Linked DNA regions of Danio rerio. Each later gene encodes a partner of the first gene's protein in a complex. Links are inferred from orthologs where the notes say so. Each region holds a gene or a part of one and is shown on either strand. Other genes may lie near its edges. The genes, in order: nup205 and nup107.

What was found.
Region 2: the proteins of nup205 (region 1) and nup107 are in contact, whole or in part, in a cryo-EM structure (PDB 7WB4), measured with the Xenopus laevis proteins. The link is inferred for Danio rerio from reciprocal best matches to the Homo sapiens genes NUP205 and NUP107. Residues at the interface, in XP_041443600.1 of Xenopus laevis: Gly1247, Gln1248, Arg1249, Pro1250, Ser1458, Arg1506, Gln1507, Leu1983, His1991, Gln1995; in NP_001091312.1 of Xenopus laevis: Gln134, Glu136, Pro189, Tyr282, Tyr283, Gln770, Ser772, Phe773, Thr774.

What each region holds. Positions count from the first base shown.
Region 1 is NC_133193.1:13,627,642-13,631,731, forward strand, and holds the start of nup205 (nuclear pore complex protein Nup205), read right to left. Parts: upstream 2,801-4,090; 5' UTR 2,786-2,800; coding exon 2,758-2,785; intron 100-2,757; coding exon 1-99. UniProt on the Homo sapiens protein: Plays a role in the nuclear pore complex (NPC) assembly and/or maintenance. May anchor NUP62 and other nucleoporins, but not NUP153 and TPR, to the NPC.
Region 2 is NC_133179.1:23,336,202-23,340,249, reverse strand, and holds part of nup107 (nuclear pore complex protein Nup107), read left to right. Parts: intron 1-771; coding exon 772-841; intron 842-927; coding exon 928-1,043; intron 1,044-1,135; coding exon 1,136-1,325; intron 1,326-1,415; coding exon 1,416-1,528; intron 1,529-2,863; coding exon 2,864-2,966; intron 2,967-3,514; coding exon 3,515-3,675; intron 3,676-4,048. UniProt on the Homo sapiens protein: Plays a role in the nuclear pore complex (NPC) assembly and/or maintenance. Required for the assembly of peripheral proteins into the NPC. May anchor NUP62 to the NPC. Involved in nephrogenesis.

The DNA.
Region 1 (4,090 bases):
ACTGCAGATCTAAAAGATGAACACTTTCTGGTTGACGTCTCCAAATGGCCCCTTCCACAGCCTCCCAGAGCTCCTTCAGCGGCCCCCACAGACTGGCTCCTGCAAACAGAACCACAATCTCTTTACAATATATATATAAGGAGTTCAGATGCAAAAACCTCTAAATGAAAGAAACATTTTCTTAACCTCCAATGTTTATGTTCAGTTATTTCACTTGAAAGGCGATTAAAAGAACTTATCCATCACTATAAATGTAAAATTACTGAGCCAACACATAGGTAGTGCTGTCGCCTCACAGCAAGAAGGTCGCTGGTTCGAACCTCGGCTCAGTTGGCGTTTCTGTGTGGAGTTTGCATGTTCTCCCTGCCTTCGCGTGGGTTTCCTCCGGGTGCTCCGCTTTCCCCCACAGTCCAAAGACATGTGGTACAGGTGAATTGGGTAGGCTAAATTGTCTGTAGTGTATGAGTGTGTGTGTGAATGTTTCCCAGAGATGGGTTGCGGCTGGAAGGGCATCTGCTGAGTAAAAACTTGCTGTATAAGTTGGCGGTTCATTCCGCTGTGGCGACCCCGGATTAATAAAGGGACTAAGCCGACAAGAAAATGAATGAATGAATGAGCCAACACACGAGTCGGAGAAAAATGCTAGTTTTAGAAGAAAACATCAGATGGCTTTTAGAGGTTTTTGCATCTAAACTCTTCATATGCATTTCTCTATATTAGTGACTGAAAAAGTTGCTTTTTCACATTTTTCCTCCTGTCAGTGTGACGTATGATTAAGCATACGTATGATATAATATATAATAGTTTGAATTTTTCTGTTTTCAACTGATTATTTTTGTCATTTTGTTGCGATTTGAGTTTTACAGTTTTTGTTTCAGACTACTTCAACCCTCCTGTTTCTTAAGTGTCTGCAGAGTGCAGACTAGTGTTTTTCATACTTTAGGCTAGGGCTGTGCAATTAATCGAAATCGAATTGCAATCACAAGAGGCTGCTATATGAAATATATTATTTAATTTCCTCCACCCAGAGCAAATGTGTGACTGCCGTCTGTGTGTGACAGTCTTACTAGACAGTCTTACTGAGTGAGCACACTTTCATTCTGGCCAATCAGAATTGCTCAACTGAAAGTATGTAAAAGCCCACAATAAAAAAGAAAAAAAAAAGGAAAGCGCAAACGAGTGGGATGATGACATCTGCCGCTTCAAAAGCATTAATAGATGAATTTATATCAAAGAAAAACAGCAGGTCTGTTATATGGGAATATTTTGGTTTCAAAGTCACAGACACCGAACACAAACAGGCAATTTGTAAGAGCTGTCAAAGAATTGTTCCCACAGCATGAGGACATACAGCAACCAGCACCTAAAAATGCACCACAGGCCGCTATATGAGGAGTGTCTTGCTAAAAAAAATCAACTAAAAGTATTGGCTGTGACACTTAATCTAGTAGCTAGCAAAGTACAATTTCAGGTTGTTTGCTATTACTATTGCTATTATTTTTTTTAGTTCTTCATTTTAATTAACACAGAAGCTACAATACAGTTTATTAAGCTGAAGTTTGACTACAAAATTGAATTGCATATCAAATTGAAATCGCAATATCTGTCAGAAATAAAAAAATACAAATCGCAATTAGATATTTTCCCCAAATCGCACAGCCCTACTTCAGGCTAGTACTTTTGTCAATTTCACAAACTATCATGACCTATAAAGGTAAAAAAAAAAAAAAAAAAAAACTCAAGCTGTCAAATGTGCTTTTTTAAAGACAAAACAAAAAACTAAATGTTATAAGTATCTCAAAAGCAGAGCAACCAGTTGCCTCGACTTATAGGTAGAACTTACACAGTAGAATTGCAGAAGGTAAACAAAGACACATTATAAAACACAGACATTAACTTTCATTTCACTGACAATCATTAACAACATTCCTAAGGTACAAAACAAGGAAACAAATACATGAAAAATGTAAAATGGAAGACAAAATATTTAAATTGAGGTAAAGTTAAAGGTATATTCACACATTCAGATTTCTCCTCAATAATATAGTTTCGAGAAAGTATTTTTTGCAGATTATAAACATGAAATCATATTAGCAGTCATTGACTATCAAAGTACACCACATTTCACAGTCAAATAAATAGTGTTAATGTTGTTTAAAGTCAAACCTACATGTGATTTCAGACCCAATATTCAAAGTAACCACGTTAAAAACAATATAGGAAGCATGTCACAAGTTGCCACTGAACGAATATGTGCGCATATAAAATCAACTTGACCTCAATAATATGTAAACCACTAAACAACAGTATAAACATAACTCGTATATAGACATTAAAGTATCTTTAGACTTAAACCTAGACTTATCTTGTCCATGTATCATTTTTATTAGACGTAAAGGGCATATTCACGAGGCAATTTAACAGACATTGATGTTAGGAGACATTGATGTTTTAAATAACGTCAACTTATTTATTCTGGTCGCACAAAAGAACAAGTTTTACAAAGACTTTTACTTTAATAATACCTCGTTTAAGAAGAGCCCAGATAATAGTAAGCAATGTAACGTTAGTTGCGCATTTAGTTACACACTCTAAGCCTATTTTCTGGTGAAGGTAGCGATAAAGTGAATGGCTGACGAAGTACTTGTACTTTAAATGTATTAAAATACTTTGGTTTAACGTGCTAACACAAAAGTCAATGTTATATATCGTATAAAACATTAAATATGTAAGAATACGAAATGTATACATTAATACCTGAATTTACCGCCATCTGCGTCGCCATGTCTGAAGCGTGAGTGGGCTGCCCTGAATTCTGCCGGTGTGAAAACATAACTTTCGGTTTCTTTTGTGAAGAGATTTTATTTATTTACATTCGTATGCTCTTATTTATTGCCTTATTGCTTATTTATTTGTTTATTTTTATTTTTGACAACATTGGTTTGTTGTGTTTTTGCCATAAATACCACATGAGCGTAGGACCTATAGAAATAGAAGTTGGTAGAATCAGCATGCAGGTTGGTTCTTTGCTACAATAGCAAGCGGATACTGACACTACGAAAGTTGCTACTAATTTTACATATTCAGGGTGAATAATGTTTTATGTTTTATTTGTATAGATAGTTTTCTCAAATAAATTGATCGTCCTGACAGCTATTTACACATAAATCATTTGCTCAACGTAGGCAGCATTGTCACGTGGTGCATGTTATATTTCTCACCGTATTTAAGATCATACAAATCATAGTCATCTGTGATTACAGCGCCTTGCCATTTCAATAAATACGTTCATAAGGAAAATTGCTTTAAAATTTGCATTTGTTTAACGAATGTCGGTTTGGGTAAGCATTACAAACAAAAGGTTATATTATTAGCCAGCGTGTATCTTTGATTAGACAAAAAAACGCCCTTAGAACTTCACACGACTCAATGGACGGACCCGTTTTTGAGCCACCAAGCGAAATAGTTGACATTAAGTGAAATTGAGCGACTGATGCCTCACATACTGCCTGAAAATTATTAATATCCCATTTTTCTAGCACCAGAGGGTGGTACTGTCCTACAAACCCACCAACAAAGATCGAAATCAGGAATAATAATAAACACAATATCTCTTTTACAGAACTTCAAATGAGACTCTCAGTCAATTTTGCGAGGCAAAAACATACTGAACTTTTACTATAATAAAACCATGGGATATCAATTTTACTTTACTTTTTTTATTTTCTTACTAGACGCATAGATTGTTTTGCCCTTTATCGTAAGTATTTCAGCTTCAAGACATACTATTTTAAATACTAATTTCCTGGCCAATGGAACCAGAAAAAAAACGCAATGGTACTTTCCAAAGATAACACAAGTATCTACCTAAAAAGTAAGCGAGGGTTATGACATAATGATGAATTAATTTCCAATCAGATATCAGTATTATTTGGTATTTGGAGCATACAAATAATTTATTTTTTAAATTAAATCAAAATCATAAATACTTAAGTTCAATTATTTGGTTAAATCTAAAACAGCACAATTTATGTTTAAAGCTAGGAATAAACTACTTCCTAATTGCATAAAAAAGTTTTTTGAAGAAAGA
Region 2 (4,048 bases), on another chromosome or scaffold:
GCCATGACGTCACTCTCCACCCCATTTCCTCTTATTCGCACCAAACCGGTGTCATTCGTTTGTGCCTGGTTTGTGCCGTTAAGCAAACACTTTATCTATTTTCATTGTTTACATATAACCAAAATATATTTATATTTATATTCGTGCATGAATTGATTATTTTCGTTTCCTCACAATTTGTGCTCGTTTGTACTGCAAAAAAATATTATTTGTAGGCCTAAAAATAATACTAGATCATCCAGAGGTGTCTCGACTCTAGTTGCTCCATATTTACCAAAATAGTCTCGTTTGTGTGTGTTTTATTTGTACTGGATTGTACCTATGAATGTGTCGTTAGTGCTGCTTCTATTAGTAAAATATTGAATTAAAGACAATGACATCACCAGCCACCCCACATGTATGATATTCTAAAATATTTTAATTTGTTTGTGCTGATATAATTTTTGTTTGTGGTGCTTTATTTTTAGATATTAAAATAGTCTAGGCCAATATAAGTTATTCTGAAATCTTTTTTTATCAGAAAAAGCACCTTTGCTGATTTGTCATTTGAGCAATACGGGGTGGAAAGTGATGTCACACGGTCAAAAAAATAATGCTTAATATTTTTGCGGCACAATTCAGCACAAACGAATGGCATAGTTTTGGTGATTATTTGTTTTTATGGGGTGATAACTTCACAGATGTAAAGTTTTCAATTTTTGATTGGTAATGTCATGTAAAGAGGGAAATTGGTGTTTATTTTCTGATCCTTCACAAATGTTTTGTTGACAGAGAGTTCTGGACGCAACCAAGGAGCACTACCATGTGATTCAGAAGTTTGTGATTCTTGGAGATCTTGATGGTATGTTTCAGAAAATTTTTATTTTGAGACTCTTTTTTTTATTTATTATTTAACAAAGAAATAACATCCTCTTAATTTATCTAAAGGTCTTCTTGAGGAGTTCAGTGATTGGTTGGGAAGAAATACACCTTTGCCAGCCCATCTCTTACGCTTCATGTCACATTTAGTGTTGTTTTATCGCAGTTTGGGCATGCAGCTTAAGGTACATACAAACGCATATATATTTTTAAAAACCATGTCTTATTAATTACCACTGAGTGAGTAAAATGTTCACGTTTGTTTTAAACTCATCAGGAGGAGGTGTGTGTAGATGTCCTGAAGGCCTACATCTCGCTGTTGGTGAAGGAAAAGCAGGTGGAGCTCATTGCGTTTTACGTCAGTCACCTTCCTGCAGATTTGGCTGTGTCACAATATGCTCAGTTCCTGGAGGAAGTCACTGAGACTGAGCAGCGCAAACACTGTCTGGAGCTCGCAACACAAGCAGGCAGGTTTATTTTGCACTAAAGAGTCCTCTTGCATTACATACTTAATACACCAATGGTTATAATGTCACCAATTTTTTTGTGGTATTTAGGTTTGGAAGTGGCAGCAATCACAAAAACGGTAGTGGAAACCATCAGAGAGAGAGACACAGATGAATTTTCCCACCATGACCTGACGCCTGCACTGGACACGGCAACTACAGTGGTACTAATGATGAACTCTTCATTTATGAAAACTTGTTTACCACAGGTTTGATGGAAAAATATTAGTTTACTTTTTTATTTAAAATTTCACATTAATCCATACGATTTTGGATTTTAAAATAAGATTTTGGAGATGTAAACATGTTTAATGTTAAATTGTAGTTTTGTGTTTTTTTAAAATTGCAACATTAAACATGTTTACATCTCCGCAGATATTATACTACAAAATCAATATAAATACAGTGGTAAAATATAAATATTTTATTTTTCCATCCTTGCAGTCTTTCTTGAATTTTCTTCTCCTTCTATTATAGCTCCTTCCATTATAACTTGTTAACTAATTAGCCTCTATTAACTGATAAATGACTACTGAAAGAATGTAATACTCCTACAACTAAAAAGCTTTATGTACATGCTTTACTGGCATGATATTTAGTACAGTATTGCCAAAGCATTTTAGATATGTATAAAATAAGTAAGTTATTCACATTATCAAATTAATAACATACAACAAATTTGAAATAAATGACAGGAAAAATGAATAAAAACAGACATATCTCTAAAATGGATATTTATTAATGATTAGAAAAGAAAGTTTAGATTTTATTAAATAGGGTAAATTAGTTTATTGACCATTTCTAATGGTGTACATATATTTTACAGGCAGTTTAAATGTCATTTTATTCTCTTTGAGCATATAGTAATATATATAAATTTTTATCGTTTAAAGAATCTGTTATTTACTTTTTCTTTCTGTCTCGCCGCAGTGCACGCTGTCAGCTGCGAAGCCAAACGGAAAGTAGTCTTTATTAAAAGAATAATACAAAAATGCAACAACTTAAGAAAGCGAAAGTAAAAGTTGACTCCTGGATATTATAGGAGATTTACAAACACTGGCTGGAGTCGCCAGATGCAATTTTAAACCTCAAATAGGCATCTCTCTGTTGGTCTCTGCAGAGCATGTGAGACTGTGTTGTTGACAGTTTTCTCGCGCACACACAATAAGCAGTATGAAATGTGTTGGGTGAGAGAAGATTTTCCACTAGTTAATCAAACAGATTAATGGATGCGAAAAAAGTGTAAAAGGATGATAATATTATTTAAAAAAAAATAAAAAACGGTCCTCCAATATACTTGGACGGCCGTTAATATACCTAGGCAGTAGTAAAGTCGCCCAAGTAAAATCTATGTGTGGAAAGCACTGGATTTATTGATGTTAGTTAAGTAAAATTAGCTTACAAAAAAAAACTAATAAACTCATTATGTATAGCTCATTTATTAGTTAAGGTTAGCCATTGCAGTAGGTGTTGCTATTCAACTTTTCCTCTCTGTACAGGAGGATCAGCAGAAGATTGATGTGATTGACTGGTTGGTGTTTGATCCTGCTCAACGAGCTGAAGCACTTAAACAGAGCAACGCCATCATGAGGAAGTTCTTAGGTGAGACTTTCCTAGCCAGAATAGTATATCAAAATCTATTAATGTTGTAATTGGTCATTTTATATATCATCAACTGCCTCCTCTTTAAAAATTAGTTACAGTCTCACACACAATTTCACTGAAACACTGATAAGTTGTACAAGCTCATTTGTAGGTTGTGTAAAAAATGGCTAATGGTAGCACTAAATAAACTAGACTTTCACAAACATTATAAAAATGTATTTCAGATCCTCTCACTTTGTAACAAATCCATATTAATCCTTTAAAGAATTTTAGCATTTACATTTCTCTACTTTTATCCAGAGTACCTTGCAAATGAGAATCAATAGAAGCCATTTGTAAACAGACCAGTTTGTAAGTTTAAGTCTGCTGTAAACAGCAGATATAAACAAATTTAAAGGAAAACTAAAATAGAGAAATAGAAATCTTCATTGATTCGCATGCATACATCACACATTGAATGTTTGTTTCTTTTTAACACACAGCAGATAGATTAGATCAGTTCTTTGATTTGCAGTGTTGTTCTATTATACTCATGTACAATACAGCATCTAAGAAGCATGACGCTGCTAAGATGGTCTTCGCCAAAGTGCCCGAAGACTCCATGCGTGAGATCTACCGGCAGTGGGAGGAGCAGGGTATGGACACACCACTTCCTGCAGAAGAGGAGAATGCCATTCGTGAACATCTATGCATTCGTGCTTATCTGGTGAGTAGTGCTGTTGTACAATGAATTGACCTAAAGTCAAATCAAGGAACTTTTCTGCTGTACAATGTCTGCAGCAGACGCAGCGATATTTTGCAACACCTAAAAATAGTTACCTGCTACGTAAATGGATGACATCAATGTGTAATATCAGTGCGCCTGCATCAGCCATGATATGGCAGGAAAGTTTCTTGATTATTACGCTAGAATGAGAGTATGCTTCATAACCTTATCAACCTAAAACGTAGCAATTTTTAATCCCTGTCCGTCTTTGTACATGATGCAACTACAGAAGTGTCAAGCTTTAAATGGGAAAATTATTAAAACTTTTTTTATTTTAAATTTTGAGCAAAATGCTAATGGCCTAATCTGCCTC